7 linked regions of the Canis lupus familiaris genome follow. The main gene of each other region encodes a partner of the protein of the gene in region 2 in a complex. Links are inferred from orthologs where the notes say so. Each region holds a gene or a part of one and is shown on either strand. Other genes may lie near its edges. The genes, in order: SMARCC1, SMARCD2, DPF3, ARID2, PBRM1, SMARCC2 and SMARCA2.

Region 1 (3,500 bases), on a different chromosome or scaffold from region 2:
TGCGTGTCATATTCTTTCTCCTTCCTGCTGCATAGTTGTTCTCTGCCTTGCTCTCTCACCCATTCTTAGGCTGCCTGTGGGGTGCTGCCCCTCACCCGTCAGCTCCCACTTCTGTCTACTCAGGCTGCCCTCATGTAGCCCCTGCTTCTCTTCAGAAGCTCTCTGCCTCTGCTCTAGGCTCCAGCTCCTCTGCATCTCTTTTTCAAGCTCTCCATCACACAGGCCATCAGTCCCACATTCCTTCCTTCTCTAGAACCTTTCACCAAGCCCCCAACCTCATTCTGCGTGTCGGGCTCATCCAGCCCTACTGCTGTAGGCACACTGTGGATTATGTGGCTTTTACTTGAGCATGCTTTTTTGAACCTTTTTGAGCTTCTTGCTCCTCAGGAAATGCAGGTGACAGATAACCAGGTGATGCAGGTACCTACCTCTGAGAGTGGTGAGTATGAAGATGCCACAAGAAGTGGTAGCTCTGAGGAATAACGGGAGTGACACTTGTATTATTTTCTGATTTCTTAACTCAGGTGGGGCCTTGTGCTTAGGATAGTCTGCTGCTGTCGTGTCTCTAACCCCCTTCTTCACTCTGATGCACATCATCTAAAATCCTAAGTCGTCTACAAGCTTATCTCAATTGACTGGAAGGTTTCAGGTTTTTGGCTTGCTCCTCCTGTGGTTTTCCCTTGATGTGCCTGCCATGCTGTACATCTGTGGGAGGAATGATGTATAACATACTTGATAGATAGTTGTTCCTTTAATCCCCTTGTCATTCCCTAGGTTGATAGACTTCACTACTGCCTGTATGTGTCCTAGCACTGTGGCACAGGCACCCAACAGCTTCTGGCTTTGGTGGTCAGTTGGTGTAAGAGTGGGTGGCTGTGTTAGCCCAGCAGTGAGTCCAGTACTTGCTCTTGCATTCTCTGAAGCAGTTTGACCAAGCTGTCCTCTAGTGGATGGATCTTGGGGACTCCTCTGCTGGGTTCTCCCATGATTGCATTATAGAGCACAGAAAGGTGGGCCTGAGGTCCCCAGACTTGCTGTCCTATTTATTCTGAGGTAAAATGTTGATATATTTTGCTTTATAAAAATTGCCCCTGAAAGGCAGTAGACCACCTCTTCCCCAAACTTTTGAACTTGTGGAGTTCTTTTTCACTAAAACCCCCCAGTAGTGAAGGGCCTGGGTCAGGAAACAGACACGGGCAATAGATGGTGTGAGGCTTGAAACTTTATGTGTCTCCCTTAAGACAGGCCTTTTTCTAACAATGACAGAGAATTCCCCTTAAGTTGTCTCCAGTACTTCTTTATATGTTGTAATTGACTGGTAACTATCAGTCCCATCTCCCAAATTTTCCAAGATTGGACCTAAAGCATTCTTTCTTCCAGCTGTCTCAGAACTATGTCTAGAAACATATTTAGTTTCATACAACTGACCTTTACAGAGATACTGAAATCCCTAGATTAAAAAAATAATAACGAAACACCATAGATTCTTTCCTTATTCTGTAGAGAGTATAATTTGCTGAGGGTGGAGAAGAGAGAGAGAAAAAGGAAGCACATGCATACGTTTCAGCCTAGATCTGTACCCATTAAAATATTCTCCTTTGGATGTAGTTCTTGAAAACCAAGCCCAGCAGCCAAACCACTGAGTTTTAAGAACTAAGAAATATTCATATCTGAAGTAGGATTGGCAAACTACAACCTGTGGGCCAACTTTGGCCCATCTCCTGTTTTTGTATGGACTGTAGGCTAAGAATGGTTTTTACAATTTAAATGGTTGGGGGAAACTCAAAAGAAGAATGCTTATATCTCATGAGGATTATGCAAAATTCACATTTATAGAGTCCATAAATAAAGATTTATTGGGGGATGCCTGGATGGCTCAGTGGTTGAGCATCTGCCTTCAGCTCAGGGCATGGTCTCAGAGTTCTGGGATCAAGTCCCACATATGGCTTCCCTCAAGGAGCCTGCTTCTCCCTTTGCCTGTGTCTCTGCCTCTCTCTCTGTGTATTTCATGAATAAATAAATAAATAAAATCTCAGGACACCTGGGTGGCTCAGTGGTTGGGCGTCTGCCTTCGGCTTAGGGCATGATCCCAGGATCCAGGATCAAGTCCCACATCAGGCTCCCTGCATGGATCCTGCTTCTCCCCATGCCTGTGTCTCTCATAAATGGATAAATCTATCTATTTATCTGTCTATCATCTTTATAAATAAATAAATAATCAATCTTATATAAATAAAAATTAAGATTTATTGGGACACAGTCTCACATATTTGTTATCTGTGACACCTGTATGTCATCTGTGACTGCCTTCATGCTACAGTGACAAAGTTGAATAGCTGTGACAGAGACCATATGTTCTGCAAGGTCCAAATATTTACTGTCTGGCTCTACAGAGAAAGTTTGCTAAAAATCCTAAAGGCTCAGTGTGAAACTGTAGTCGGGAGGTATTTTACTGTTCTTGTGTCTAGTCTCTCCTCTCATTAATCTCAAACCAACAGGAAGAGATGAAGGGGTTGTCCATTTTTCTTGCTCTGCCCCCTACCCCCCACCAGCCACCATCTCTGTGCTTCTCCAGGGCCAGTGCTTCATGGTGGGGGTTAGGAGAGACTTTTATTTCAACAGGACTTGGAAATCCGATTAGGATTCCTTTATAATGTTGATTTCACAGTTGTGACCAATACCCTTTCTTGCCTACTACACCCCCACCCACCCACCCCCGTGTGAAGCTCAGACTTAACTTAGCTGCTATCATCAGAGTGCACACTAACTTGCTGTAAAGATCCTCTCCATCCCCTGTGGTCAGTGCTTGGCATTTTGTGTCCTCAGGAAGATGTATAACAATCCACTATCCACCCAAAGTAACCAAAACAAATGTTTTCTTTTAGGGTGCTCTTGTAGTTGCTTCTTACAGCTACCTGCCTATACCAGGGTTTAGGGTATTCTTTGACTCCATAGACTGCCCCATTATCCTTCTTCCTCCAAAAAAAAAATGAAAATCTGGACATAGAGATTATTACAGATTATGGCTCTGTTGGTATTTCAAATCCTTCAGAGGGTTAGGTATTTGTATTTAGCAGTCTTGAGCATTGAATTGATCTCTTTCTTCCTAGTACACTTACCATAATACTTTAAATCTCCTTCCACAGGTCAGATGCCAGGTCCAGGTTCCATGATCCCTGGGCAACCCATTCCAGGCCGCATGATTCCCACTGTTGCAGCCAACATCCACCCCCCTGGGAGTGGCCCAGCCGCTCCTGGTATGCCTCCAATGCCAGGAAACATCTTAGGACCCCGGGTACCACTCACGGCACCTAATGGCATGTGTAAGTAGCATGGTGGGGGGAAACATTATCCTTGTATCTCTCTGGGTGGGCTGGAGACAAGAGATGGGGCTTTGTTCTCTAGATTTATAGTTTGGCAGGTCCATGGACAGTGCAGCCTGTGACAGTAGGTTCTAGAAGATCGGTTTGTGATTAGGGCTCTGCAGCACCCCTGAAGAG
Region 2 (4,185 bases):
TACTGAATCATAATCTGCATTTTAAACCAAAGCCCCAGATGTTTCTTTCTTTTTTTTTTTTTTTTTTTTAAGATTTTATTTATTCATGAGAGAGAGAAAGAGACAGAGACACAGGCAGAGGGAGAAGCAGGCTCCATGCAGGGAGCCCGAATGGGACTCGATCCCAGAACTCCAGGATCATGCCCTGGGCTGAAGGCAGCGCTAAACCACTGAGCCACCCGGGCTGCCCAAAAGCCCCAGATGTTTCTTGTGCTTATTAAAGTTTAAGAAGCACTGGCCTGTATCAGGGGGAGGAAACCCCAGATGACCAGCATGTAGGCTAACACAGCTGAAGGGCTTTATTTTGAATACCTTATGACACAGGATAGTGGTTTCTGAAAAGGTATTGAATTTTTTTTCCAATTAAGTACTATAAATCCTGGAGAAAGACCTTATTTAACTGCAGGGAGTTTTCTCACAAGGCAAAATTCCTCCCCCTAGAAACATTTCCTGTGGAGTAAAGTACTAGGCTTCCTTAAAGTGAGGCAGAGCCACGTTAAAAATATGCGATAAGAGCTCGGCGCAGGGCCAAGTCAGCCCGTCACACAGCTGGACTGGGTCTGGGGCAGCTGACGTCCCTTGGCAGCTCTGAGCCAGCAGGATGGGCTATTAAACAAAGTGAAGCTGGTGGCTCTTCTGCCTCAGGAAACAGCTCTAAGCTGAATTTTTACTGCCTAAAACATAGAAAAGCGACTTAAGTCAACTATTTTCAGGGAGTGTAACTGGGAACCTCGGGGGGCGGGCTCCACGGGGCAGAGATCAGCAACTCCCCACGCATTCTCTGTTGAAGCCCTTAGGTGACCTTCAACCTCTGACCCCGCGCCTTGCACAGCGCTTCCTGCGCAGCTTTCCGCCTCCGCCCCTCCGGTCAAGGGCGGGCCTGAGGCGTGGGGGCGTGGCTGGGGGGGGCGGCTGGCGGTTAGGGGCGGTGCTTGCTGGGGGCGGGTCTCGCGAGGGGCGGGATTTGAGCGGCACCGTGGCATTGGACTGCAGGTTCTAGGCGGGGCCTAGCGCCGGGCTTGTTTGGGCGGGGCTGGGAGTTAGTTGCCGCCTCCGGGTAACTGGACTCCGGCGGCCAAACCTCCGGAGGCCGCGAGCGTCAGGCGGGCGTGCAGCAGATCCCGGATCCGGAATTGCCCGGGCAGGACCGGAATCAGGATCGGCCCTGCCCCAAACCGGGTCTGCGAGGAGGAACTTGAGAACTTGGATTGGGAAATCCCGGAACCCGGATCAACAAGCCCCAGAACCCGGAATTTAGATCGGGAAGTCCCGGAGCACGGATCGCGGAGCGGACTCGACACGGAGCCCGGAGCCCGGATCGCGACACCGCCGGACGGGACGGAGCGATGTCGGGCCGTGGCGCGGGCGGGTTCCCGCTGCCTCCGCTGAGTCCTGGTGGCGGCGCCGTTGCCGCGGCCCTGGGAGCGCCGCCTCCGCCCGCGGGACCCGGCATGCTGCCGGGACCGGCGCTCAGGGGGCCAGGGCCGGCTGGCGGCGTGGGGGGCCCCGGGGCCGCCGCCTTCCGCCCCATGGGCCCCGCGGGCCCCGCGGCGCAGTACCAGGTGAGCAGCGCGGCCGGGCGGGCGGGTGGCGCCGCGAGGTCGCCCGGGGCGATGGGGCGATGGGGGCTGGAGTCGGGGCCGCGGGGCAGCCCCCGGGCGGGGCACGGGGGCCCGGCGTGCGGAGTGCGCGGGACGGGGTGCAGGGCAAGGCCGGGCGGCGGGGCAGCTCGGGGAGAGGGTCAGAGCGAGCCTGGGCTGGAGGGTTGGGGGCGGTTGGGAGGGTCTGGAGGTTTTCTTGGAACGGGGATTCTGAGTGAGAGGTGGAGGAACCGGAGCCCGGGAGCTGTGGGCGAGCGGACCGAGAAGTCTAGTGTAGGTCCTAGGGAAGGGGGCTCGGGGAAGTGCTGGGAAAGTTTTGCAAAAGGGCCCTCACGGAGAAACCAGGGTTACCCTGCCTTGGCCTTGGTCCCACTCCAAGTCTGCGCTGGGCTTTTTTTTTTTTTTTTTTTTCTTCTAGTTGGGAACTGGCAGAGTTCTAGCGTGTCTGAGATGGCTCCCAGCTGCTGATGGGGAGGAAGAAGGGCCTGGCTCCCCGCGGCCCGGGAGGTGGAGAACGGAGCAAGGGGACCCCAGCCTGTGCCGGGCAGGGTCTGCTCCAGGTCAGGCCCAGGAGCCCTCCCGTGGGGTGGCTCCGGGTTCGACCAGAGCTGGTGGTGGCCAGGCCTGAGGCAGGCGGAAAGCCCAGCCCGTTCTGGGCCGACTCTCCTTTTGGCTTTCTGCCTGGTGTCCTAGTGTCCAGGAGTTGGTTAGTGTGCAGGAGCAGAGAGGCTCCACTGAGCCCTGCTGGTCTGGGGCTGGAGGAGCCTGTCTGTGAGAGTTGCTTCAAAGAGTTCTGTCCTGACCCCTTTGGAGTTTGGCTTCCAAGAGAGCGCGTCTCAGGTTGCAGCTTCAAAGGCCGAGGAGAGGTAGAGACTCCATCCTTAGGGCCTGACCCTGCTGGTGGGGCTCATCAGTACCCCCCTCTCCAGTCCATTGTTTCTGGTTGCCCCAGAATGCTTGGGAATTGTGCCCATCCTTTTTTGCACTCTCTCTGCACTCTTATTTAGCCTTTAGGTTCTAGCAATGTCATATCCCAACCAACCCGTGTGCCCCAGCGTTTGGCACTGGCTTCTTTGCTAATCTCCCAAGGAAGCTGGGGTTGACTCTCTGGTCTCCAGGTAGAGGCTCCACAAATGGATCCTCATAGGATAGGATATGCTTATCTCCCTCGCCGCCCCCCTCAGAGCCCTGGGCCCTTACTTTCTAAAGAGACGCCTAACTGGGGACCCTGATTTTTCCCACTTACTCTTCATCCCCCCTCCTCTCTGTAAAGAAAACAAAATATCTGGGTACTGACAGAGATAATGCCAGTGACTCCCATCTTTCCCATCTTGCTTTCCCACTTGGGGATTCATGGGTCCAAGCTGATGCTGAGGGGTCTCGACATGAGTCATTACAGCCCCTGGGCCGGCTAGCTGAGCACAGGCCTTGGAGTCTCTCTGGGCCTTTGGTCTAAGAAGAGATAGGAGCCTCTCCAGTTGCCTTTGTTCAAAAGCTGTGAGCAGTGTGGCCTGGGGAAAGCCCTTGGATAATGGGTTCCACAGCCCTATGTAGGGAGTGGCCTTGGGCCAGTGGCAAGGTCCAGCTGACTGGCTGGGGAGCCCCAGGCTGCTAGGGTTGGGGACCAAAGGGTAGGCACTGAGCTTCTGCTTCTGCAAGCTTCCTGTCCCACCAGCTTTTCATAACCTCTTCCTCCTCCTCCAGGAAGGGACAGTAGAGGATCCAAGGGGAGAGGGAAGACCCAGTTCACCCTGGCTAAGTTCGAGTAAGATTCTGCTTGGCCTCTTTCTAAGTCCAGTTGTGTGACTTCCAGGAGATGGGACTTCAGAGGAGCAAAGGGGGTCCTGTCTGTTAGGGTACATGAAGTGAGCTAGAAGAGCAAGGCTTTCCAGGCCAAGTGGGGTAAGTTAGGGAACCTATGGAAAGAGGGGAAGTGATGACCCACCTCCCTCCACACAGTGGATCTAGCTGTGGATCATACTCGACAGAAGAGCTTAAGGAAAACAAGAAATGGGGCAGTTTGGGTGGCTCAGTGGTTTAGTGCCGCCTTCAGCCCAGTGCCTGATCCTGGGGACCCAAGATCGAGTCCCATGTCGGGCTCCCGGCAAGGAGCCTGCTTCTCCCTCTGCCTGTGTCTCTGCCTCTCATGAATAAATAAATAAAATCTTAAAAAAAAAAAAAAAAAAAAAAAGAAAGACAAAACAAAACCCAAAGAAACCCAGATTGTTGGGTTCACTCCAGAGTTCAAAATATTTTCTGCTTATGGAGGGGTATGTTCCCTTCTCTTAGGCCTGGGCCACCAGGGGCGCCAGGGCCACAGGCTTTGAGGCAGGGTGCTGCGTGCTCTCTGGAGGTGCAGCATTAGGCCCAGCCACGTGCCCTGCTGTCCTGGGCAGTGGAGGTAGAGTCACACTTAGGACATGGGCTGCTGCCGGGCAAGGGAGAGGACATTGTCACACACTTCCTAGCTTGAGCTTTACTGCAGGCAGGGACTTACAGAGCCTTGAGTGGCCTGACTGGGATTTGTTTTGGGGTGTTTTGTTTT
Region 3 (4,273 bases), on a different chromosome or scaffold from region 2:
TAGCTCTCCAAACCATTCTCGCGGCTCCCCTCCTCCCTACACCACCATCCATCCCTTTAGCTGGATGTGTCTCTGCGCTTTGTTCTAATTTATCCCATGCATAATTTATTTACGTGTGTATTGTTTCCTGATCAGCAACTTTTAAAAACAAATGAAATGTAGAAGATGTCTTGCTAAATAAGTTGTTTTCAAAAAATAAAGGCAGATGGTGTGGGTCTCCCAATAACAACGTGTGTGCTCCTGCATTAGGAGTTTAAAAGCCGTCCGGAGCGCAGGAGGTTCGGCTCGTCCGGGAGAGGGGGTGGGTATTGTTTACACCCCCTTTCCTCCAGGGAAAGGGTTTGGGATGCAAAAAGGAGGAGCTAATTAAAAAATGACCACTCAACTCCCGTCTAGAAAAGGCAGGCAGGGATGTTGTGTGTATGCTAGCGCGTGCGCGCGCGCGCGTGTGTATGTGTGTGTGTGTGTGTGTGTGTGTGTGTGTGTGTGTCGACACAGAATTACAAAACATGTCATTGCAACTGTCTCTAATTATTACAAAGTATAAGTTTAATAATTCAGGACTAATTCCACTAAACCAGCCCCCTTCTCTGTTCCCTCCTCCACCTCTAACCCCACCCCACTCAGACACCCTCGCCAAACACGCACCCTTCCGCAGTTCAAAAACAAACAAACAAACAAAAAACCGGAGCCGGCAGGGAAACAAACCCTGGAGCGTTTAGAGATATTGCGCCTGCCGGCGCGTGAGCGGGCTCCAAGGTAACGCTGGTACCGCTTTCCCAGTAGGAAACAAATCTGGCGCACATGTGAAATAGATTTCTCTAACTTGAGTTTACCAGGTGGCATCAGCCTGCCTATGTGATTTCGGCTGGAAATGGGGAAACTGCAAATCAGCTGGAGGTTCGGCTGAAACTCACAGCATCAGCGGTGTGGCTGCGCGAGCGACCGGGGAGCGAGGATGCGGCGAAGTTACGCCCATTTATTCTGCTGTAAAACATTTTCTTTCTTGGCTGAAACGTTGTGGCGTTCCAGTGCAGTGTATCCGAGCTTGCGAGCGAGAACTAAAGCCGGGGGCTGTTCTGTGATCGGCGTCAGCTTCCAGCTTCCTCTTAATCGCAGCTTTAATCGCAGCTTTAATACATGTATATTAAAAAAAAAAAAAAAAACTCCGAACCGGGGACCTTACTACCTTTTCCCCTATTAATGATGGGAGATAAGCTGGTGCAAACACGTCCGATTACCCTCGCGCGTTCCTTTGCGCTAGGAAACACCCCCACACCCCCCGCAGCCTCCCTCCCTCCCCCGGTGCGAACGTGGTTTTCAACTCCAGGAGGAGCCTGGGGTGCCAGCGCGGTGCGCTGAGTTGAAATAACCCGCACGGGCATCGGCCACACAGCCAGGAGAATTTTGCACGAAACGCCCCCCACCTGCATCTCCCCCTCCCCTCGCCCGCGGCTCCCACCCCGGCTGGGAAGTCCTGGTCCCAGAGGCGCGGACCCCGAGCCACGCCGCGCGGCGACCGGGAGTCCCGACCCACGTCGCGCGGCGATGGGGGAGCGAGCTCTCCTCTGCCAATATCATTGCCAATAGCACCCCTTGTAGGGCGACGCTAGTTTTCCGAAGCCTCCAGCGGCTCCGCGATCGCGATCGGACTTGGCGGCTTAACATTTCCATCGACTGGAAGGAAGGAAGGAAGGAAGCCAGGACGAAAAGGAGCAGGAAGGCAGGCAGGCAGGAATTGGCAGTCGGACCCGGGGACTGGTCCCCGCATGTCCTCGCCCAGCCCGCCCCCCTGCGTCCGGGATCTGGGCGTCCGCTCAAAGTCTCCCGGCGGCGGCCAGAGGCACCTGCCCCTCGCTCTGGCCGGGAGCAGAAGCTGCCTCTCCGCCCGCCTCGGTTTTTCACCCAGAGGAGGCAAGAACACCATTCATAAGACCTGCAGCCTCCCTGCCTCCCAATCAACCCCAAGTTAACCCGAGTCGTTAATACACTACACCCAGTTCGCCCGCGAACACACGCAGACACACCGGCGACCGCCCGGAGCGCGGTCACGCTCGGGGGGCTGCCCCGGCAGGAAAGCCCCCGGGCAATCACCTGGGCCCCAGGGCTCCCGGGACCCACTGCTCCCCCTGCGGTCCTCCCAACTCCGGAAGGTTTGCACAAACTCCCCGCGAGCGATCGGAAGGCGTAAAGCGCCCTGCAAACTCCGGAGCTGCCACGGTCCGCTCGCCCCGGCGGACCCAGCAGCCGGGCAGGGGCTGCGGACTCCGGAGGCGCGGGGCGCAGCCAAGTGCACCCAGGCGGCCCCTGCCCGGCGCTCGCCCCCAGCTCGGCCGCCCCCCGCGCCGCGCTCGCCATCCCGCGACGCCGGGCACTCGGGGGACCGTGCAGTCCCCGAGCTGCCCACGACCGCCCGCCTCCCCCCCCCCCCCCCCCCCGTAGAGCGCTCGAGCGCCTGGCTCCCCTGCCGAAAACCCCTCTCCGTGCGTCTTCCAATTAAGCAGAACACAAACGTAACAATTTTCTTCTTGTTAATTGCATCTCTTGACATTTCTGCGCGTTGGGGGTAAAAAAAAAAAGAAGATGAAGAAGTAAGAGCTGAAAGAAAAGAGAAGCCCCGCCGCGGCTGCAGGCGCCTGCAAGCGCAGTGCATTGGCAGCGCTTGGCACGCGGAAGGCGCCTTTTTTTTCATATTGAAACCAGGCGGAATATGTACATTTTTTAGTCTTACTTACGCTTTCAGGGGGTTGTGAATGACAGTCGCCATTTTGCTACAATGTAACAGAATATTGTCTGTCTCAGAGTTCTAAAGGTTCGCTCAGGGGAAGCGGCGAGCCAATCAGAGCACGGGATACCGGCCCGCTGGCCAATGGGCGCTGCTGGTCGCCAGATGGGCGGGGCCTGCACGGTGGTAGTTATTAGGGGAGCTGTCAAAGCCCAGAGGTCACTCCCTTTTGTAGAGCCCGAGAGCAAGCAGGTCTTAAAGGGGCAGTACCGCGAGAGCAGCTCCTTTTCGGATTTGGGAAAGTGGAGACGCACGGGGAAAGTATTCTAGTTTGGTTTGAGTCCCTACTTTCTAAATAATTGCAGAGAGTTTGCGCTCCTGGACAGAAATATTTAAGTATTGCCAACAAACCACTGAACCCCATTCATTAGCTTTTGGCTTTGCTGTTACGTTTTTAATCCCCCAAAGGGCAAATCCCCTCGTTCCCGTGCAAAAGTTGGAAGGCTGCCGTTTCGTCTAACAAATTACTACACGTGCCCAGCAGTTTGCTAATGCTCTAGGTCCAAGGCTTTTTAACATTCTCATTCCTGTAGTGTTTTCTTTATCTCGGCCACCTTCTCTCTCTCTCTCTCTCTCTCTCTCTCTCTCTCTCTCTCTCTCTCGGTTTCTTGGAACTGCTGCCGCCGTTCCCGGCGACTCCAGGACAGCAACTCCCCTCCCCCTGGAATGTCTCAATGTCAGGCTCGCTCCCTCCGGCAGCCAGGGCTTTCGTTACGTAATGCGCGGTGGTCGCTGTGCGCGGTTCCCCACTCCGACCTCTTCCAATCTACACACACACCAGAAACTTCTGAAATGGTCAGATTCCGGCCGGCCGGGGAGCCAAGTGGGACCTGGCGCTCTGACCTTTAGGCTTGGGGACAGAGGAGGTTTAAGGAAACTTTTTGGAAACGCTTTCTGCTACTAGGAAAGAGAGTAACTAGACAGAAGGTGTTGCCAGAGTCTCTTTCGGGGAGTAGCACACGCGATTCTGGCGTCACCTTTCACTACTTAGGTACACGGTGGAAAAATTTGCCACTGAATAATCCGGTAGGACCCGAGGCGTTCAGAGTCTGTGTCTGCTCCAAGTCAGCGTGAACTCCTCACTGGCGAACCCCCGACGAAATTGGGAGACTTCGGTGAAGCCAGGCTTCCACGGGGCAGCGGGGAATCTCCCGGTGGATGAAATCGCACTAAATCATGAATAGGGGCCTCGTTAGCATACAGAAATCTGGCTAACATCCCAAAGTTGTTTAATCAGGTCAAATAGCTAAAATAGCGGAGGAGGGGTGGAAAGGGGGAGAGAAGATGCCAAATTGCCACCAGTTCTTCAGAGCTCTGCACTCTCACTTCCTTTCTCAGGGCTCCTCTCAAGGCAATGAATTAAAATTAACAATAATAATAATAACAATAATGTTCCAGAACTTTCAGAGCGCAATTCCATACACTATTAGAGTTACAGAAAAACAGAATAAGACTGAATGGGTATGTTTGTTTATAAGACTTGAAATC
Region 4 (4,219 bases), on a different chromosome or scaffold from region 2:
AATACGAAGAGCACCCTCTGAGTTTTAAATCACCACCACCACCTAAAGACCCTCTATGAGTAAGCAAGCATTAAAAATAAAAGATGACCTCATAATAGGTTACAATATGAAAATATTCTTAGCAGAAAAAGGAAAAAATAAAGCTTAATCAGAAAATACAATATCTAAAGCGTACCACACATCAACTAAGAAACTTACTTTGTCAAAGACTGTCAAAAAAGGAGGGAGAGAATGAAAGAAAATCCAAATCATAGTATTCCATTTCATAGTATCCTTAATCTTCCTACATATATAATAATCCTTCTGAACGTTTTTAAGTCACTCAAAAATCCCAAAGAACTTATTCTAAAAAGAATCCTGGTCACCTAAGGCACCAAACATGCTATGCTGTGTGTAAATATTCTACTGAAAAACTACTCTGTTACACGGTTCCATGCAAGAGGTATCATTTTTGTTTTGTTTGAGAATCTTAAAGTGAGGATTTTAAAAGGCAAAGGAGTTTCCGAAGCCAAGCAAAAATTTTCCCAGGGGATACAAAGTTTCATTAACTATCTTAACTCTTTTACTAAGCATCACCTCTCTGCCCCTCCGTGGATATCAACCAATCAATAACAATGTCACAAAAGAACGTTTACCAAGATGGGAGGTGGGGTGTCACCTGTAATGATCCCGTATGAAAAATGTAAACAGTCCTAAAATAGGCGAGGAAAACTTTCACCTTCCTATACAACCTCACTTTATGGATATTTGATGTTTGTCGGACTGAAAAGATGAAGACAAGTTTAGAAACTGGTGTGCAAGGTTTGTTTGGGGGGAGTGGGGGGCTTATCCCTACCACCACCACCAAAAAACAAACAAACAAACAACAACAACAACAACAACAAAAAAAACACCCACAAATCTCCCCTTGAGTCCCTCAGTTCCAAATACTGTGCAAGAGTCACTACTACTCACCGCAAGTAATACTGTTTTAAAGCAAAGGCAGCGTTAGAACAACTTCTGGGAAAGTTGAACTCTTCAACAATTTCTCCCCACTGATTCTTCTCAGAAACCTGTTAAAAACACAGCCACACTTGTCTGAGAGTGCACCGTCCAGGGAGACTGCAGCCTAACCGTGAAATAAATACCCATTCTACAGAGATCTGAGGATACACCACCTCGGGCATCAGTGGGTGTTTGGGATCGATCCGTGAGGAGAACTAAGCAAGGGAGTGTGTGTGTGGGGGGGGGGGGGGCTCGAATCACTGTGTTTTCACCCGAGAGCCCTGTATTTAATAGCACTTGTTTTGTTTGGGGGGGGGGGGGGCGGCGGCGGCGGGGGGCCCGGGAGGGGGTGTGTGGGGGAGACTGGTGGGTTTGTTTTGTTTTTGAAGCCCGGACAATAACCAATCGCAAGTCCCTCTGTCGCCCCCTTTTAAATCTCAACGCGGTCCGTTTACACTAAAAAAAAAAAAAAAAAAAAGTTCAAAAGGATCAATACTGTTCCGGACAGCGACGTCGGCGGGTTCCGGGGGGGGGGCCGGGCCCGGGGCCGCTCCCGATCCCTCTCCCACATCTCTCCATCTCCATAGGCCCTTCTTTGAGGCCTACAGCTTCTGCCTAGCCTTGAAGCCTAAGATGGCTATTTGGAGACAGGTCCTGGTTTCTTTTGTTAGCCGTATAAACCGAGGGCGACGGGGCCGAGGCTGTGCCCCCGGCCGCCGGGATCATTTGGCGGCCGATTATCGATGTGAAACCTGCCCGCGCTAATTTTGAGTTGCACGAAAACTGCTCTCAGAGTCTGTGTGTCTCTGTGTCTCCGCCTGTGCTAGAGCGGCAGCCGCGGCGGAGCCGACTCGCGAGCGAGCGGGCGGGCGGGCGCGCGGGCGGGCGGGCGGGCGGGCGGGCGCGGGGCGGCGGGGCTCGGCCGGGCGGCGGGGCTCGGGCGGGCGCCCCCTGCACGCCCGCGCTCCCCGCCGCGGCGCTCGGACCCCGCCGGGCCGGCCGGCCGGGCGGGCGGGCGGGCGGGCGGCGGGCAGGGCGCGAGCCGGCGCCGGGCCGCCCGCCCGCCCGAGCCCCGCCGCCCCGCCGCGCGCACGCGAGCCACCAGGCCAAAAAAACAGCCCCGCCGCCCGGCCGCCTCCGTGCCACCGGCTGCGAGCGCCGAGAACGCCTTTTGCCCCCGCGGGCCACCGGGCCCCCCCCGCCCCGGGCCCCGAGCGCCCACTCCGGGGTCAAAGGAGACTTTTCGGAGCAGGCCAGCGAGAGGGAAATACGAATTAAAACTTCCACTCACCTTCGCGAATCCGCCTAAAGTAGTGACTCTGGTGTAGAGACCGTGAAGATCCAGCTCCTTCCCACCCACCGCAGGGATTTTTTTAAAAGGCGACCTGCGGGAGAGGAGACGAGAGAGAGAGAGAGAGAGAGAGAGGAGAGGAGAGCGAGAGGAGAGCGAGAGAGAGCGAGAGAGAGAGAGAAAGCCCCGCACTTGTCAGCCGGGACCCCGCGCCCGGCCCGGGCGGGAGAGCCCCGTTCGCCCCGGCTCGCCCCGGCGCTGCCCCCCCGGCTCTGCGCTCACCCTCTGCTGTGGTGGAACTGCCGCAGCTCGTCCAGGAAAGCGAGTCCCTTTCTCCGCTCGTCCGGAGGCGCCTTCCCCGTCGAGTTTGCCATTATTTTTGCAAAGGAGGTTTCAAAAAAAACCCGGATCGGCGTCTTAAAAGCGGCCCCCGCTCCCCGCGCGTCCTACCAGAGCCCGGAGCCCATTCCTCGGCCGGCGGCGGCGGCGGGGCTCAGTCATGGGCCGGCGGTGGCGGCGGCGGCGGCGGCGGCGGCGGCGGCGGCGGCGGCGGCGGCGCAGGGAGGGAGGGAGGGAGGGGGAGGAGGAGGAGGAGGAGGGGAAGGAGGGAGCCGGAGGCCGGGGGGAGAGGAGGGAAGGAGGGAGGGGAATTTCTAAAAAAGTTTAAAGAAATCGGAGCGAAACTAGAGGGGCAGGCGACTGCCGGATCGGCGCGAAGCCGCGGGGCGAGCGCGGCCCCCACCCCTTCCTTCCCTCCCTCCCTCCCTCCCTCCCCGCGGCCCGGCTCTCGCCCGCCTCTCAGCGCCGCCGGCCCAGGCGGCTCGGCCTGCGGACGCGATTCAACATGGGGCTGCTGCCGGGGGCGCGCGGGCGGGCGAGGGGCCGGGCGAGCCGACGGTGAGCGGCCGGAGGCCCGGAGTTTCGGCGGCGGCGGCGGCGGCGGCGGCGGGGCTGGGGCAGGCGGGGCTGGGGGTGGGGAGGGGGAGGTCTGTGTGGTGGTTTGTGGAGAGAGGGGTGACAGCGTGTATTCCGGCCGCGGCTCCGCGGGGCCCTCGCACACATTCACGCGCGGCCTGGGCCGCGGCGGCCGGGGCGTCCCCGGGCAGAAAGCACCGGCGGCGGCCGAGCCGCTGCGCGCCGCCCGCCCGCTTCCTTCCCCGCCAGCCTCGCTCTCTGCCGCCGCCGCCAGCGCCGCCGCCGCCGCCGCCGCCGCCGCCGCCACGGCCGGGCAGCCAGCGCCGCACAGCGACCCCCGAGGGCCGGCCGCGGCACTGCGCCCGGCTCCACACCGCCCCGGCAGCTCCTCGCGGGGAACAATAGACTCGGCTCGCCGGGCTTAGGGTTCATCTGCAATGTGCCGCACATTTCACACGCACACAAAGCCGGCGGAAAGGGGGGCGGCGCGGGGAAACGGCCACTACCGGTTGTTCCAGGGTTAGGGGTGGAGGCGATGTTCGCGTCCCCGGCCCGGCTGTTGCCAGGGCCGCCCCGGGGTCCCCGCCGGCCCCGCAGCACCCAGCACCGGCCTGGCGCTCGGCGGGCAAGGGAAGCTCCGAGGGGCAGCTCCTGCCGCTACGCATCCTTCACGGATCCGAATAAAGTCCTTTTTTTTTTTTTTTTTTTTTTGAGGGTCTAAGGGAATCGGCGTTTCCGAGCCTTGTGCTAGTATTTTGGGGCCTGATTAGCACATTTTCCATGAATTATCCACAAACTAACTTGAGCGAACTGGAAATCAAATACGATGGGAACTGTGTGTGTGTGTGTGTGTGTGTGTGTGTGTGTGTGTGTCCTAGTTCTCCTGGAAATACACGGATGCCCACGTCGTCTTGCCTCTCTGGTCGCTTTCACCTATCAAACTAGATTATTTTATGCTGAGTTATGCAAAAACAGTAATTAAACCGGCTCGGGAGCCAACCTTCTGAACTTGGACGATAATTAACGTTT
Region 5 (3,995 bases), on a different chromosome or scaffold from region 2:
AAACTGAAAGAGAAGAACAGGCAGAGAAAGGGGAAATAAAAAAGAAAGGTCAGAAGGAGTAAAAATGACTACGAATAGATAGAAAACATTCAAGTAGAACTGCTAAAGAAAGATAAGAGAACTGGAGAAAATAGCCATATCAGTTCTCTCGTGCCACACTGCTGCAAAGGCTCAGGCACTAACAGTACCCGACATTTCTTTTAATTTTAAAACAAATGCTTTTCATATGCTTAAAGATGTCTCACTGAGATTCCTTTACTCACATGGAATGACTGTCAATTCCAGGAATGAAGCATGCCTGCCCAAATGCCCCCTAGTCAATAAGAGCAGAGTTCAATCACAGAGCTGGAATGGAGAGTGAACACATGTGGAAGGCTCACATGTGACACCAAATGTTGGCAAGCTGGAACAAACCAAGAATGGTTCATGTGAACAGTCTGGAAACCTCCTCCCCCCTACAAAAAATTCAGAGAAAGACATTTCTTTCCAAAAGTCCTACCAGCATTAGAAAGACAACACTCACAGGTTTAGAAAGATTAAAAACAAAGCCTTTGATCATTTTGGCAGGTGATCAAAATTACTACCTTCATAAATAACCCACTGAAAAGCATATGACAACAAATTGTAAATTGTTGGTGCGTGTGTATTCTAGTTTAGACCATAATATACAAAACTCCTTAAATCATTAACTTTCTGTGATAAAGCAAGAAAAAGAGGCAACTTAAGGGTAATTTTCAATTATTTTCTTATCCAAAGGACACATTTTTAAATGTATTTTGGAAGTTTGGCAATAAAGTCAGTATTGCCAGGTAGGTGGGAGAGGCAACAGGACTTAAGCTCAGAAGACCGGATTCTGAGTCCCAAGTACTCCGCTTCGAGTTATCTGTTTCATGTTGCTTGAGTCACAACCTCTCAGAGCTGTTTCTCCACTTCTAAAATGAGAAGTCAGGTGTGCATATATCTGCCTTAGAGCACTGGGACTGTGATACGTACACGAAATCACTTTGAAACTTCAAAGCACAACAGAGAACTTTCAACTCTAGGATTAAATGCTCCTTGGGACCAGTTAATAACATTTTATTCATTTTTGTAGCTCTGGCTTATAGAATAGTATCTGGTATAGTATGAACAATCAATTTATCTTTTTAAATAAAGGTATTAAAAGTGGGACATTAAAAAAAGCTTGTGTGGTTTAAAAGGACTGTGGGCAATCCTTCAGCAATTTTCTCCCCATGAAGAGGAAATACATTCTGGAGCCCAAATATAAATTTTAAAATGGCACTGATTACAGCTACATGTGCAAAAGTCTGACAACCAGTAACTTGCATTGGACGCTAAGGAATAACCTTAAAATGTGCAACTGGGAAAATACTCATTTTAGCCACACGGTATATTTTGATAGTACTAAAAGTTCTCTCCTGTATTTCTGATACTCAATACTATAATACATGCACAGAACAAGAACCTTGGAAAACAGAATTCAAAGGGGGGAAAAAACCCCACATAATTCTAGAAAAAAAAAAAACAAAACACCCTTAACATTGGCATTCACGGCTTTCTGTATTTTTTCTATGCCTTAGTTGCCTTTTTTTTTTTTTAAACCGCAGTGTTAAACCATATATATTGTTTTGCAACTTGTTTTAAACTCTGGGTTCTTCCAAAAGTGAACACTCTTCCACAGGATGTTTGATGGCTTGTTAACAGCCCATCGTATAGACATACCACAATTTACTGAGCTTGGAGTTTGGGGTAAAATATCAAAATCTGAGGTATTTTGTACACCCAAAGCCAAAGAAGGCAATCAACGCCCTTCCATTTATCCACACGCACATTTGTTACTGTTTGAAATTGGAACTGCTTCTTCAAAAACACTTTCCTTCCTTTGAATCTTAAAATACAAGCAATCTGTTAACAAGGAATAAAGCAAAACCATACTACTCTTAATGGAAAAACATCACCTCAAAAACCATTTTTGAGGAGCCCTAAATTTTTTAAAATATAAATTAATAAGAATGTCTTATATTCCAACATATGCTTCTATAACCACAATGGTAATTTCTATACCTGCTATACTGTGCTATTTCCCACTTGTTTTTTTTTTTTTTCAGTATTTCTTCCACATTTTACCAATCTTTATTTAAATCGCCAATATCTTCCCTATCACAATAAAACTACGCTTTCGGTAGAAAATTTTAAGAGGTGGAAAATTATTAAAAACCAGGAAACGTACAATTTTAAAACCTCGATTTTCCGTGCTGCTGCAGAGAAGACACTTCAGTATCTAGCCTCTAGTATAAATACAAGTCTCACTCAAATACACACTCAGTCTGAACACAGTCATCTAGAGAAGGTAAAAAAAAAAAAAAAATTTTTTTCACACTAGTTGAGTTTGCGTCAAGAAACAACAACAACAAAAAAAGGAGGCCCTGACCTGTGAAGAAATGAAAGACTTTCCGGACCTGTCACTGGTACCGGGACTAGGGAAACGTTGACAGCTTTGAGGCTGTCGGCGACGAGGGCTCTGCCGGCCGCCGGGGCGGGAAAGAGCGAGCGGGAGCTTCCGGGCCGCGGCGCGCCTTTGTCCGGCCGGCAGGGCAGGTGCGGCGAGGCTGCCTGGCCGTCCCGACGCCCGCCGCCGCGCCCCGCCCCGCGCGCCCAGCCCGACCGGCGCGTCCCCACGCCGGGGCGGGGCCTCCGCCGCTGCTCCCGCCCGCCCGGGCCCACACAAAGGCCCGGCAGCCGGCCGAGAGGGAGCGGCCCCGCCCGCCCCGGGCCCGGCCTTACCCAGCCGCTCCGCCGCCTGCAGCCCCGGCCGCGGTCGCCGACCGCCGCGCCCCGCCCCGTGGCCGCCACGGCTGCTGCTATTGCTCCTCCGGCTGCGGCCGCCGCCGTCGCTCCAGCACCCGCCGCCCTCACCGCCCTCACCCCTCCCGGTGCCGCCGCAAAACCAGCCCTGCGGCCGCCAAGCGAACCCGGCTCCGCACGACACTGCGTGCGCGCGCGCGCGAGCGGGCGGCGGCGCGCTTTACGGCGGTAGCGTCGGTGCGTGACGCTCGGGCTTGGCTGCCTGCGAGTCACACGTGGCCGGGGCGGAGGCGCGTTGTTGCTGCTGCTGCCGCCGGTTACGCCGCTGCGACCGCCGTTCCCGCTCCCAGTATGAAGCGACCGAGTGAGTACGGCCGGGGAGCGGGTGTAGAGGGGCCTGCCTCTGACGGTCGGCGAACCGTCGGGGCGGTCTTCTGAGGGAGCGGGGGAGCCTGCGGGCAGGCCGCGGCGCGGGTCGGGAGGAGAAGCGAGTGGGGGAAGGCCGTCGTTAGCCGCCGGCCTGTTGTGCGAAAGGAAGACAGCAGTGAAGGTCGCTGGGGCGCCTGGGTGGCTCAGTGGGTCAGGTGTCTGCCTTCGGCGTAGGTCACGGCCCCGGCTTCCCGGGATCGAGCGTGGGCGCCCTGCGGAGCGGGGAGCCTGCCCCTCCCCCTGCTCGTGTTCTCTCTCTGTCAGATATGTTTTAAGAAATTAAAATCACGCCAGATGGTCCTGAGTAAACCGTGTCCGTCCGAGCCAAGGTTGCGGGCCCAGCCTCTTCCCTACTCGGCCATGTTGAGAGGTCTGAGGCGGGCCGCTGAAATCCGCTGCTCGGTCCTAACTTGTGATTTGCGGCCTATGACGAGAAGGGGCTGCCATCTGGGGGTCTCCTGCTCTGCTGTGCGGTTTCAGTCTGTTACGGAAAGAGCGAGAGCAGGGAAGTTGGGCTCTGCTCCAGATTCTTTGAGATTTTAGAATGGCCTGTGTTTGTAATCCACCACATGTGAGTTTTAGGTTTGAGCGTTAATTGCTAAGCAGGGAAAGGGACGTGACCCCTGAGCCCGGTCACTAAAAACTAAACGGATCCTTTGTGTCTAATCCTCTCGTGCTGGGTTTCTTTGTAGAGTTAAAGAAAGCAAGTAAACGCATGACCTGCCATAAAAGGTATAAAATCCAAAAAAAGGTAAGTGTTC
Region 6 (3,500 bases), on a different chromosome or scaffold from region 2:
GCCAGCCAGGTACCCCCTGGAATACGTTTTGGGGTCAGGGGGCAAGAAATGCTCACCTTCCTAGGTTTCTCAGGAGTTGGAGCATCTTCCACAGATGCTTCAATTTCACTGGCTGGGATCCACGTGTCATAACTGCCATGGGAAATTGAGCGTGAAATGGGATCAATGGGATGGAATTGTAGAATAGTAAAGTACAAATCTTTTACCTTTTCCATTTATAAAAAGCATTGGGTTGTTGGGTTATTTTTTGGTATGATTGTTTTTCCTATTAACATCGGGTTTTTTTCCATTATGAATAAAAAACAATTCCAAAAAAAAAAAAAAGAAAGAAAGAAAGAAAGAAAGAAAGAAAAAAAAGAATCAGCCCAACACAACTATTTGGTATATATATTTTTTCCAGTAAATTTTTCCTGTACAATTTTTTAATTTATTAATGAGAGACAGAGAGAGAGAGGCGGAGACAGAAGCAGACTCCTTGCAGGGAGCCCGATGTGGCACTCGATCCCGGGACCCCGGGATCATGACCTGAACCAAAGGCACATGCTCAACCACTGAGCCACCCAGGTGCCCCTACAATTTTGTTTTTACATAATTCCAATGTTACTATGTTATTTCACAACTTGCATTTAACATTTTCTATAAATTATCCAGTCATTTCTTTTTTTCCATGTTATTTCTATTGTATGTATTTCTATTAGTATGGCTCCATACTAATCCACTGAATAGATACATAAATTGCTAAAACATTTTCCCACTGTTAAAGACATTTAGATTGTTTCTAACATTTACTTATCGCAGATAACACTGGAATAATCATTTCACACATAAAGCCCCCATCCTTTTAGCTTAATCCTCATCTATAAGTCTAAACCTCTCCCAAGACAGATTCTCATGATGGAGAGGAGGAGAACAAACAAAACAAAACAAAACAAAACAAAACAAAACAACCCCCAACAAAACAGACCTAAAAATAACCCCCAAAGAGTGCCTGCTTGCTTTGCTAGACGTTCTAGGGCTTCTCGGTCTGGTTTCTGTACTCAAACCTGCCCCAGGACCCTATCCTCACCTGTCAGGGTAGTAGCCCCAGTGCAGAAGAACCTGCTTATCCCGCTTCATGACCGGTCGTACCCATTCCTCTGGGGATAGAGACAGAACAAGGAGAGATATAAGCTAAAGGGATACACAAAAGGTAACTAACTGTTCACAACTCATGTTGCAGCCAGGGACCTGGAAATAGAAACATATGGCAGTGGGAGGGCTCAGGGTTCAAAGGAGAGAGGAGAAGCCCAGGCAGTGTGCGGGGGCTGAATAGTCCCCCGGTCCTAGTCCAAGCCATCCACTGCAGAGGCCAGGAAAACTCAGGTCTCTTACCTTCTTCCAGGTTCCCTGGGACAGGATACACAACATGGGAGGCATTGTTCTTATCCTCAGTGACTGTTCCCTGGATGGCACAAGGAAAAGCAGGTAAACACAGTTCCCTCTGAATTACTCACAGGTGTAAATAAGCCAAAATAAGATTTAGCCACAGACTGGCCTTCCTAATCATATTTTGCTCAGAATGGTATTTAAGTTAATTTGCATTCTTTTTTTTTTAATTTTATTTATTTATGATACTCACACACACAGAGAGAGAGAGAGAGAGGCAGAGACATAGGCAGAGGGAGAAGCAGGCTCCATGCACTGGGAGCCCGACGTGGGATTCGATCCCGGGTCTCCAGGATCGCGCCCTGGGCCAAAGGCAGGCGCCAAACCGCTGCGCCACCCAGGGATCCCAATTTGCATTTTTTTTTTTTAAGATTTATTTATTTATTTATTCATAGAGAGAGAAGAGAGAGGCAGAGACACAGGCAGAGGGAGAAGCAGGCTCCATGCAGGGAGCCCAATGTGGGACTCGATCCTGGGTCTCCAGGATCACACCCCGGGCTGCAGGCGGCGTTAAACCGCTGCGCCACCGGGGCTGCCCCCAATTTGCATTTTTTTTTTTTTAAATCTTTATTTTTTTTATTTTTATTTATTTATGATAGTCACAGAGAGAGAGAGGCACAGAGACACAGGCAGAGGGAGAAGCAGGCTCCATGCACCGGGAGCCCAATGTGGGATTCGATCCCGGATCTCCAGGATCGTGCCCTGGGCCAAAGGCAGGCACCAAACCGCTGCGCCACCCAGGGATCCCCCAATTTGCATTTTTTAAGCACATACTAGCTGAGAGGCAGAGGGAAATAGCTGGGATACTGCTAATAATGAAGAAAAATTAAAGAACTAAAAGTTGCTCTAAAAATCCTCTGAAAAGATAATCTGCACATGGGAAATGTAAAGCTGACTATATGTCCCTAGCAATGGCATCTGCTTGTTATTACAGAGTTCTAGAGTAAAGGTTTCATTTCTCTGAAATCAGGAAATCTCTGGCTTTCCTCACCCTCAGGCCAATGCAGTCTCTAGGAATAGTAATCCAAACCTGTCAAGACCGGGAAATGGGAAAAGTGAACTGAGAAAGAGAGGCTCAAGGCTTTAATCTTTTTCCAAGTAGGCAGAGCAGCCTCTGCAGTACAAAACATGTCATCTAAAGATTGCTTATTGTACAGAAAACATCAGGAAAAGAAGCATGGAGTTTCCAAAACTTCTCACACACCCACTCACCTGGTGTCTCTTGATAATGTCCTTTAATTTCCCTAGCAGTTTGGGTTCAATTTCCGGGCAGAGAAAAATGTTAGGTCGAGACAGGCAGTTATTCTGTGGGGAGAAGAAATAGATGGGATAGGATCATGGGGAAAGCATATTTTGGATTTTCACTGAGGGAAAGGAGACGGACCGCAGAGGTTCTTGACTATTACCTGCACCAAGGACTTCTCAATGGTCATGAACATTTCCACGTTGCGGTCCATGCGTGATGGATTCTGGAAATCGTAACGCCGCCTTGAGAAGAGGCAATAATCTAGTGAGTGGTATAGATCAGGTCTGAAGATGAGGTTAGGGTATGTGACTTTTTAACATGGGAAATCAGGAAGCAGTCTTGCCCGCAACTGTTGCCAAAATGGCCTGGGATCTTGGGTTCACTAATCTCAACTCCATGAATCACTTTGTACTTAGTCTGAAAGGACGAAGAAAAGCTTGAGATGCCAACCTAAGAATCCCCTTTCCTCTACAATACACACACTGATGCACATATACATACATGCTCACTCACTCTTGGAAACTATTTTGGCTCTGACACTCAGCCACTCTTCTGACCTAGCAAGTCAAGGTTACTGACCTAGCAAAGCAAGAGACTTGCAAGGATGTCTACCTATGCTCTCCCACCTCCAGAAAGACCCAGGGAATCATAAAGGGGGAGTCCCCTCTAATGTAAGAAGCATAGAGAAGTAGGCATCTCACCATCCCTGGTCACTCTTGAATTTGTAGGCAGCTGCAAGTATGTGGCACAGGGAGCCTCCTGCTTTGAAATCTAGGAAACATTTGATCTACAAAATTGAGATAGGAAAGTAGTATGTGAGAGTTATATC
Region 7 (4,295 bases), on a different chromosome or scaffold from region 2:
CCACGCGATCGATCGCAGGGCGAGGAGCCCGCTGCCCCCGCCGGCCTGACTTTGCAGGAAAGGCGAGCCGGGAGCCCGGCGGGGGCCGGCAGGGAGAGCGCTGGCAAGCTCCGCGCTCGGCGGGCGGCGCCGGCGCAGGCTCCTTACCTGGGGGACGCGGAACAAAAAGAGGCGCGGGGCTCGCTGAGCCTGCGGCGGCCGCACGGCCCGAGGGGGCTCCCGGCCCGAGCCCTAGGCCCGCGCCCGAGCCCGCGGCCCGGCCCCCGCCGCCGCCGCCGCCGCCGCCGCCGCCGCCGCCGCTTCCTCCCTCGCGCGCGTCATGTCACGGCGATCAAACATGTCTGTGTGCGCTTCGCCGCTGTGACTTCCTGATTCTCTGCCGCTCGCGCGCGCACACTCACACTCACACTCGCAGGCACACGCGCACGCCACCCCCGCCCGCCCCCGCCGCCGAACCTCGCCTGGCGCTCCCCGGGCTCCCCGCGGCCGCCCGCGCCCCTACCCGCGACGGGGGCACCGGCCCGGCCCCGCGCGCAGCACACACGCACACTCACGCGCAGACACACTCGGCCGGCCCCGAGGGCGCGGAGGCGCGAGCCGCGGGAGCTCGCCGCCCCCTCCCACCCCCTCCCTACTTAGCCGCCCTGCCAAACTTTTTTTTTTTTTTTTTTTTTCCTGCCTGATCCACGTCCAACTTCCCTCCCTCCCCACCCCAGCCCCCACCCCCAGCAGGCCGGCCTGCCCTGCGCTCACCAGGATCCGCCGCAAAGCTGCAACCCGGATAAAAATAATAATGCAATCCAGGCGGCGGAGGCAGGGGCGCGCGCGAAGACGCTGGCAGGAGGCGATTTCCCCGCGTGTACCGGAAACCGGCCGGGCGCCGGGGCCAGGGCACGGGTGTCCCCGGGAGCCCGCACTGCTGCGCCCCGCCCCGCGCGCTGCAACTGCGCCCAGGCTGCGAGGCCTGGTGCGGGGCACCCGGAGCACCGGGCTCGGGGTGCGCCCGCAGCCGGAGGGCGCCTGGGGACGGGCACGCCGGACCGGTTATTTGGGGAAGTGCATCGCGACACCTTTGCAGATGGCATGGCCCTGTTTTGCAACGCAAACGGGAGGAGGGAAGACGGCCGGATGGAGGGGGAGAGCAGAGGAAGGGGTAAATCAGGTTGGGATGGGAATAAAGCAAACTCGAAAGCAGGGAGCGAGAAGGAAGGGGTGCGTGTCATCGTGGGGAGGAGGCTCCCACCCGGTCTCCCCGCCTCCCGCCCTCCCCACCCCCGCCCTCCTCCTCCCCCCACCCCCCACCCCCCACCCCCTCGCAGCCCTTCCCCTTCTCCGGCGAACGCCACCACTGCTGGCCGGGTGCGCGCGGGTCCTGTTTGTGACAGTCAGGCAGAGAGGATTATCCGGATCATGGCCTCCCGGCCCGCGGCCGCCGTGGCTCTCCCGGGCCCCGGCGAGCCCCTAGCACCCCGACGATCGCGGGCGACCCACGCCCGAGGTTCCCGCGGCTCAGGCTGGGGGGAAAGACGCCGAGCCAACGAAAACAAACCCGGGGAAGGGGGAGGGCAGCGCAACCGAGCCCGGCGGGCACCTCCGACCTCCTTCCCTGGGGCCTCCTCCCTCCCCGCCGGCGGCGCGGCCCGGGCCGGACACCCCGAACTTCAACAGCCGAGCCCGCGCGGCCGCCAGGTACCAGGTACCAGAGGCGGGCACGTCCGCAGAGCCCCGGGCGCAGCGCCCCGGGAACCCCTCTGCCTAAAAAGGGCCTGCCTACCGGTCAGCGTCCTCCTCCCCGCCCGAGGGAACGCGCAAAGTGGAGGTGACACCTCCGATCCTGCACGCACCGGCCCCGCGGCGGTGGCTGCCGCCTCCCGGGCGCGCCAGCCTCGGCTCCTCCCGCCGCGATCGGCTCGCGTCTCGGCAACCGGAGCCCTTTAAACAAGTCCCCGGGAGGCGGGTGGCAGCCGCGATCGTTGGCGCCCCGCCGCCAGCCCGGGCTCCTCGCCCTCCTCTCCCGCGCCCCTTCCAACTCTTCCGGGGAGGACGGCTCGGGGTGAACTGTCGCCTTTCCATCCTCCTCCCGGGTCCTCCAGCCGGCGCCCTACCCCAGCCTCGAGGGGATGGGGGGGGGGGGATTGCAACCTTGCGGAGTGTGTGTGTGTGTGTGTGTGTGTGTGTGTGTGTTGCAACCTTGAGTTGGCAGCGAGCGCATCGCTGACTGCCTACCTGGGGTCAAGGCTGTGCTGTGTCGGGATCCCCCCCACCCGCCCCTCGCCTCCCCGAAGTAGTAATTATTACTGTTATTATTAGAACAGCAAGGTTCGGTTGAAACTTTCCCGTTTCTTCCACGGCCGCCCGGGAGCTGTCGTTAGAGCATTCCACCTGAGGCCCGCGGGGAGGAGGCGGGCTTTTTTGTTGTGGTGGTGGTGGTGGCGGTGGCGGCGGTTGGCCCGCCTGTTTGTTTTGGTCTCCGTGCATGCACAATAAATAATAATTAGGATAATAATGAAGACTCCCCGGCGAAGGCGGCGCGGTGCCGGAGGGGTTTGCGCGGCGGCTGCAGCCCCGGAGGCCGGAGGGAGGGAGGGATGGGCGGGGGGGGGGGGGGAGAGGAGAAAGGAGTTGTAAGTTATATTTACCTTGCTCGCGAGGAGTATGCTGGCTGAATCTCTTCCCTCTCTGAGTCACCCAGAGTACAGAAACAGAGGGAGAGAGGACTAGATTATGAATATGACTTCATTGATGACAGCCATCCCCTCCTCTTCCTAAAGTCGGGCTCCGCCCCGCGTCCCACCCTCGCCGCCTCCACGGGCGCCGGAAGACGCGCCGCAGTTGGCCCCGCGCGCCGCTCCTCCCTGCCCGCCCGGGCGCGGGTTGGCGGGACGCGCCTGTCACTCGGCCCGCTCAGCGACTCCGGGAGCTCGGGGCGGGGGGGGCGGAGGAGGGGGCGGTGTGCAAGAATGTGCACCGAGACGGCTCTACTGTATGCGTGGATCCGTGTGTGTGTGTGTGTGTGTGTGTGTGTGTGTGTGTGTGTCTGCGCGGCGCCGGCTCCCGGGCCGTGCTGGTGCCTGGAGCGGAGAAACTGCGCAGGACGCAGAGCTCGCCGCGAGCCCCGCAGGACTTGGGCGTCCGACATCCCTCTCCCGGCGGTCGACCTCGGGGCGGGAGGGGGGAGCTTTGGAAGGGACGTCGCCGGGCGCCCCCCACCCCCGCCCCGCCACCCCGACGCGCGGTGGGGGGTGGGGAGGGCGGCCGTAGTAATAGCGCGTAGTAGTTTGGGGGTAGGTGGAGAAGGTGCTGGAATTTAACTGTGCCTCCGCCTGCCGGAGCGCGCCTGCAGAGGGAAGAGGGGAGGGGACCGGGGGAGGGCTCCGAGTGGCACCGGAGCTGTTAGTGCACTGCACAGTGTGGACCGTGAAAGAAAAAGAAGAAGAAGAGAAAAAAAAAAAAAAAAAAAAAGCAGGCATTGTCGTGCCGGCTGAAACTTTTTCTACGCCACCCCCCTCCCCGTTACCTCCCCCCCCCACCCAAGGTTGTAATTATAAATCTGTCCCCTTTCTCCCCCGTAAAAAAGGGAGGCGGGCACAAAGAACATTCCTGCCAAATCTGTCTCTTTTCTAAAGGACGGCAAGCTTCCAAATGCCAACGAGGGAAAAACAGCTGAGAGGCTGAATGCCTTGTAAATAAATAAGCCCACCCTAACCCCTCTGTTTACTTTGCGGACCAGATGCGGCACGTGAAGCTTCCCTCACCTGTCATCTTCGAATAAAATGCATACAAGGAAGACATAGATAGGGAAAAACAACCCCGTGGGGGCGGGGCGAGCGGGTGAGGGGACAGCTGAAGCGTGGAATCTGCTTTTGATTTAAGAAAGGGACTAAATCTCTTATCCTGGGCAGCCCACAGTCTGTCCTCTCCCACCTCACGTTGCAGACCGATTAAGGCTACAAACAGTAAACTGCTGGCACTTGGCAGTTTGGAGACCTCTTGTTCCAATTCTCCTTGAAATACAGTTCTTTGGCTGGCGGAATAGGTCAGTGTTTGCTGAGACGAATTTTATTTTTAGTTTTATGAAGTGTGAAAGAATGTTAGGAGATTTTAAATCAGGGGCCTATTATTTCAGACTCAGATTAATGTAAGTGCTTGACTCTTAAAATTAAAACTGTTCCTATATGGTAGTGTTATGAAAAGAATGATGTATCCTTTATTTTGTAATGTAATGGCTTCAATTAGTCATTCAAAGTGCACCGTGACTCTCTAGTGGAGGATTTTCCCCCTAGAGTAAAATCCTA

Evidence for each region.
Region 1: SMARCD2 (region 2) and SMARCC1 share a complex: the UniProt entries of both Homo sapiens proteins name them as parts of the BAF complex. The link is inferred for Canis lupus familiaris from reciprocal best matches to the Homo sapiens genes SMARCD2 and SMARCC1.
Region 3: SMARCD2 (region 2) and DPF3 share a complex: the UniProt entries of both Homo sapiens proteins name them as parts of the BAF complex. The link is inferred for Canis lupus familiaris from reciprocal best matches to the Homo sapiens genes SMARCD2 and DPF3.
Region 4: SMARCD2 (region 2) and ARID2 share a complex: the UniProt entries of both Homo sapiens proteins name them as parts of the SWI/SNF-B (PBAF) chromatin remodeling complex. The link is inferred for Canis lupus familiaris from reciprocal best matches to the Homo sapiens genes SMARCD2 and ARID2.
Region 5: SMARCD2 (region 2) and PBRM1 share a complex: the UniProt entries of both Homo sapiens proteins name them as parts of the SWI/SNF-B (PBAF) chromatin remodeling complex. The link is inferred for Canis lupus familiaris from reciprocal best matches to the Homo sapiens genes SMARCD2 and PBRM1.
Region 6: SMARCD2 (region 2) and SMARCC2 share a complex: the UniProt entries of both Homo sapiens proteins name them as parts of the BAF complex. The link is inferred for Canis lupus familiaris from reciprocal best matches to the Homo sapiens genes SMARCD2 and SMARCC2.
Region 7: SMARCD2 (region 2) and SMARCA2 share a complex: the UniProt entries of both Homo sapiens proteins name them as parts of the BAF complex. The link is inferred for Canis lupus familiaris from reciprocal best matches to the Homo sapiens genes SMARCD2 and SMARCA2.

The regions. Positions count from the first base shown.
Region 1 is NC_049241.1:41,736,012-41,739,511, forward strand, and holds part of SMARCC1 (SWI/SNF complex subunit SMARCC1), read left to right. Parts: intron 1-3,146; coding exon 3,147-3,323; intron 3,324-3,500. UniProt on the Homo sapiens protein: Involved in transcriptional activation and repression of select genes by chromatin remodeling (alteration of DNA-nucleosome topology).
Region 2 is NC_049230.1:15,127,825-15,132,009, forward strand, and holds the start of SMARCD2 (SWI/SNF-related matrix-associated actin-dependent regulator of chromatin subfamily D member 2), read left to right. Parts: upstream 1-1,385; coding exon 1,386-1,601; intron 1,602-4,058; exon of another isoform or gene 4,059-4,185. UniProt on the Homo sapiens protein: Involved in transcriptional activation and repression of select genes by chromatin remodeling (alteration of DNA-nucleosome topology).
Region 3 is NC_049229.1:46,575,316-46,579,588, forward strand, and holds the start of DPF3 (zinc finger protein DPF3), read right to left. Parts: upstream 2,801-4,273; 5' UTR 2,768-2,800; coding exon 2,736-2,767; intron 1-2,735. UniProt on the Homo sapiens protein: Belongs to the neuron-specific chromatin remodeling complex (nBAF complex).
Region 4 is NC_049248.1:37,970,519-37,974,737, reverse strand, and holds the start of ARID2 (AT-rich interactive domain-containing protein 2), read right to left. Parts: upstream 2,801-4,219; 5' UTR 2,650-2,800; coding exon 2,558-2,649; intron 2,370-2,557; coding exon 2,276-2,369; intron 1,053-2,275; coding exon 955-1,052; intron 1-954. UniProt on the Homo sapiens protein: Involved in transcriptional activation and repression of select genes by chromatin remodeling (alteration of DNA-nucleosome topology). Required for the stability of the SWI/SNF chromatin remodeling complex SWI/SNF-B (PBAF).
Region 5 is NC_049241.1:37,509,819-37,513,813, reverse strand, and holds the start of PBRM1 (protein polybromo-1), read right to left. Parts: upstream 2,801-3,995; 5' UTR 2,785-2,800; intron 2,616-2,784; exon of another isoform or gene 2,432-2,615; intron 2,248-2,431; exon of another isoform or gene 2,231-2,247; intron 412-2,230; exon of another isoform or gene 264-411; intron 4-263; 5' UTR 1-3. Other genes in the region: GNL3 (guanine nucleotide-binding protein-like 3), read left to right, coding at 3,157-3,169, 3,927-3,985. UniProt on the Homo sapiens protein: Involved in transcriptional activation and repression of select genes by chromatin remodeling (alteration of DNA-nucleosome topology). Required for the stability of the SWI/SNF chromatin remodeling complex SWI/SNF-B (PBAF).
Region 6 is NC_049231.1:850,229-853,728, forward strand, and holds part of SMARCC2 (SWI/SNF complex subunit SMARCC2), read right to left. Parts: intron 3,459-3,500; coding exon 3,373-3,458; intron 2,914-3,372; coding exon 2,832-2,913; intron 2,731-2,831; coding exon 2,638-2,730; intron 1,442-2,637; coding exon 1,372-1,441; intron 1,137-1,371; coding exon 1,067-1,136; intron 133-1,066; coding exon 57-132; intron 1-56. UniProt on the Homo sapiens protein: Involved in transcriptional activation and repression of select genes by chromatin remodeling (alteration of DNA-nucleosome topology).
Region 7 is NC_049222.1:91,388,988-91,393,282, reverse strand, and holds the start of SMARCA2 (probable global transcription activator SNF2L2), read right to left. Parts: upstream 2,801-4,295; 5' UTR 2,640-2,800; intron 1,911-2,639; exon of another isoform or gene 1,775-1,910; intron 887-1,774; exon of another isoform or gene 754-886; intron 169-753; exon of another isoform or gene 148-168; intron 1-147. UniProt on the Homo sapiens protein: ATPase involved in transcriptional activation and repression of select genes by chromatin remodeling (alteration of DNA-nucleosome topology).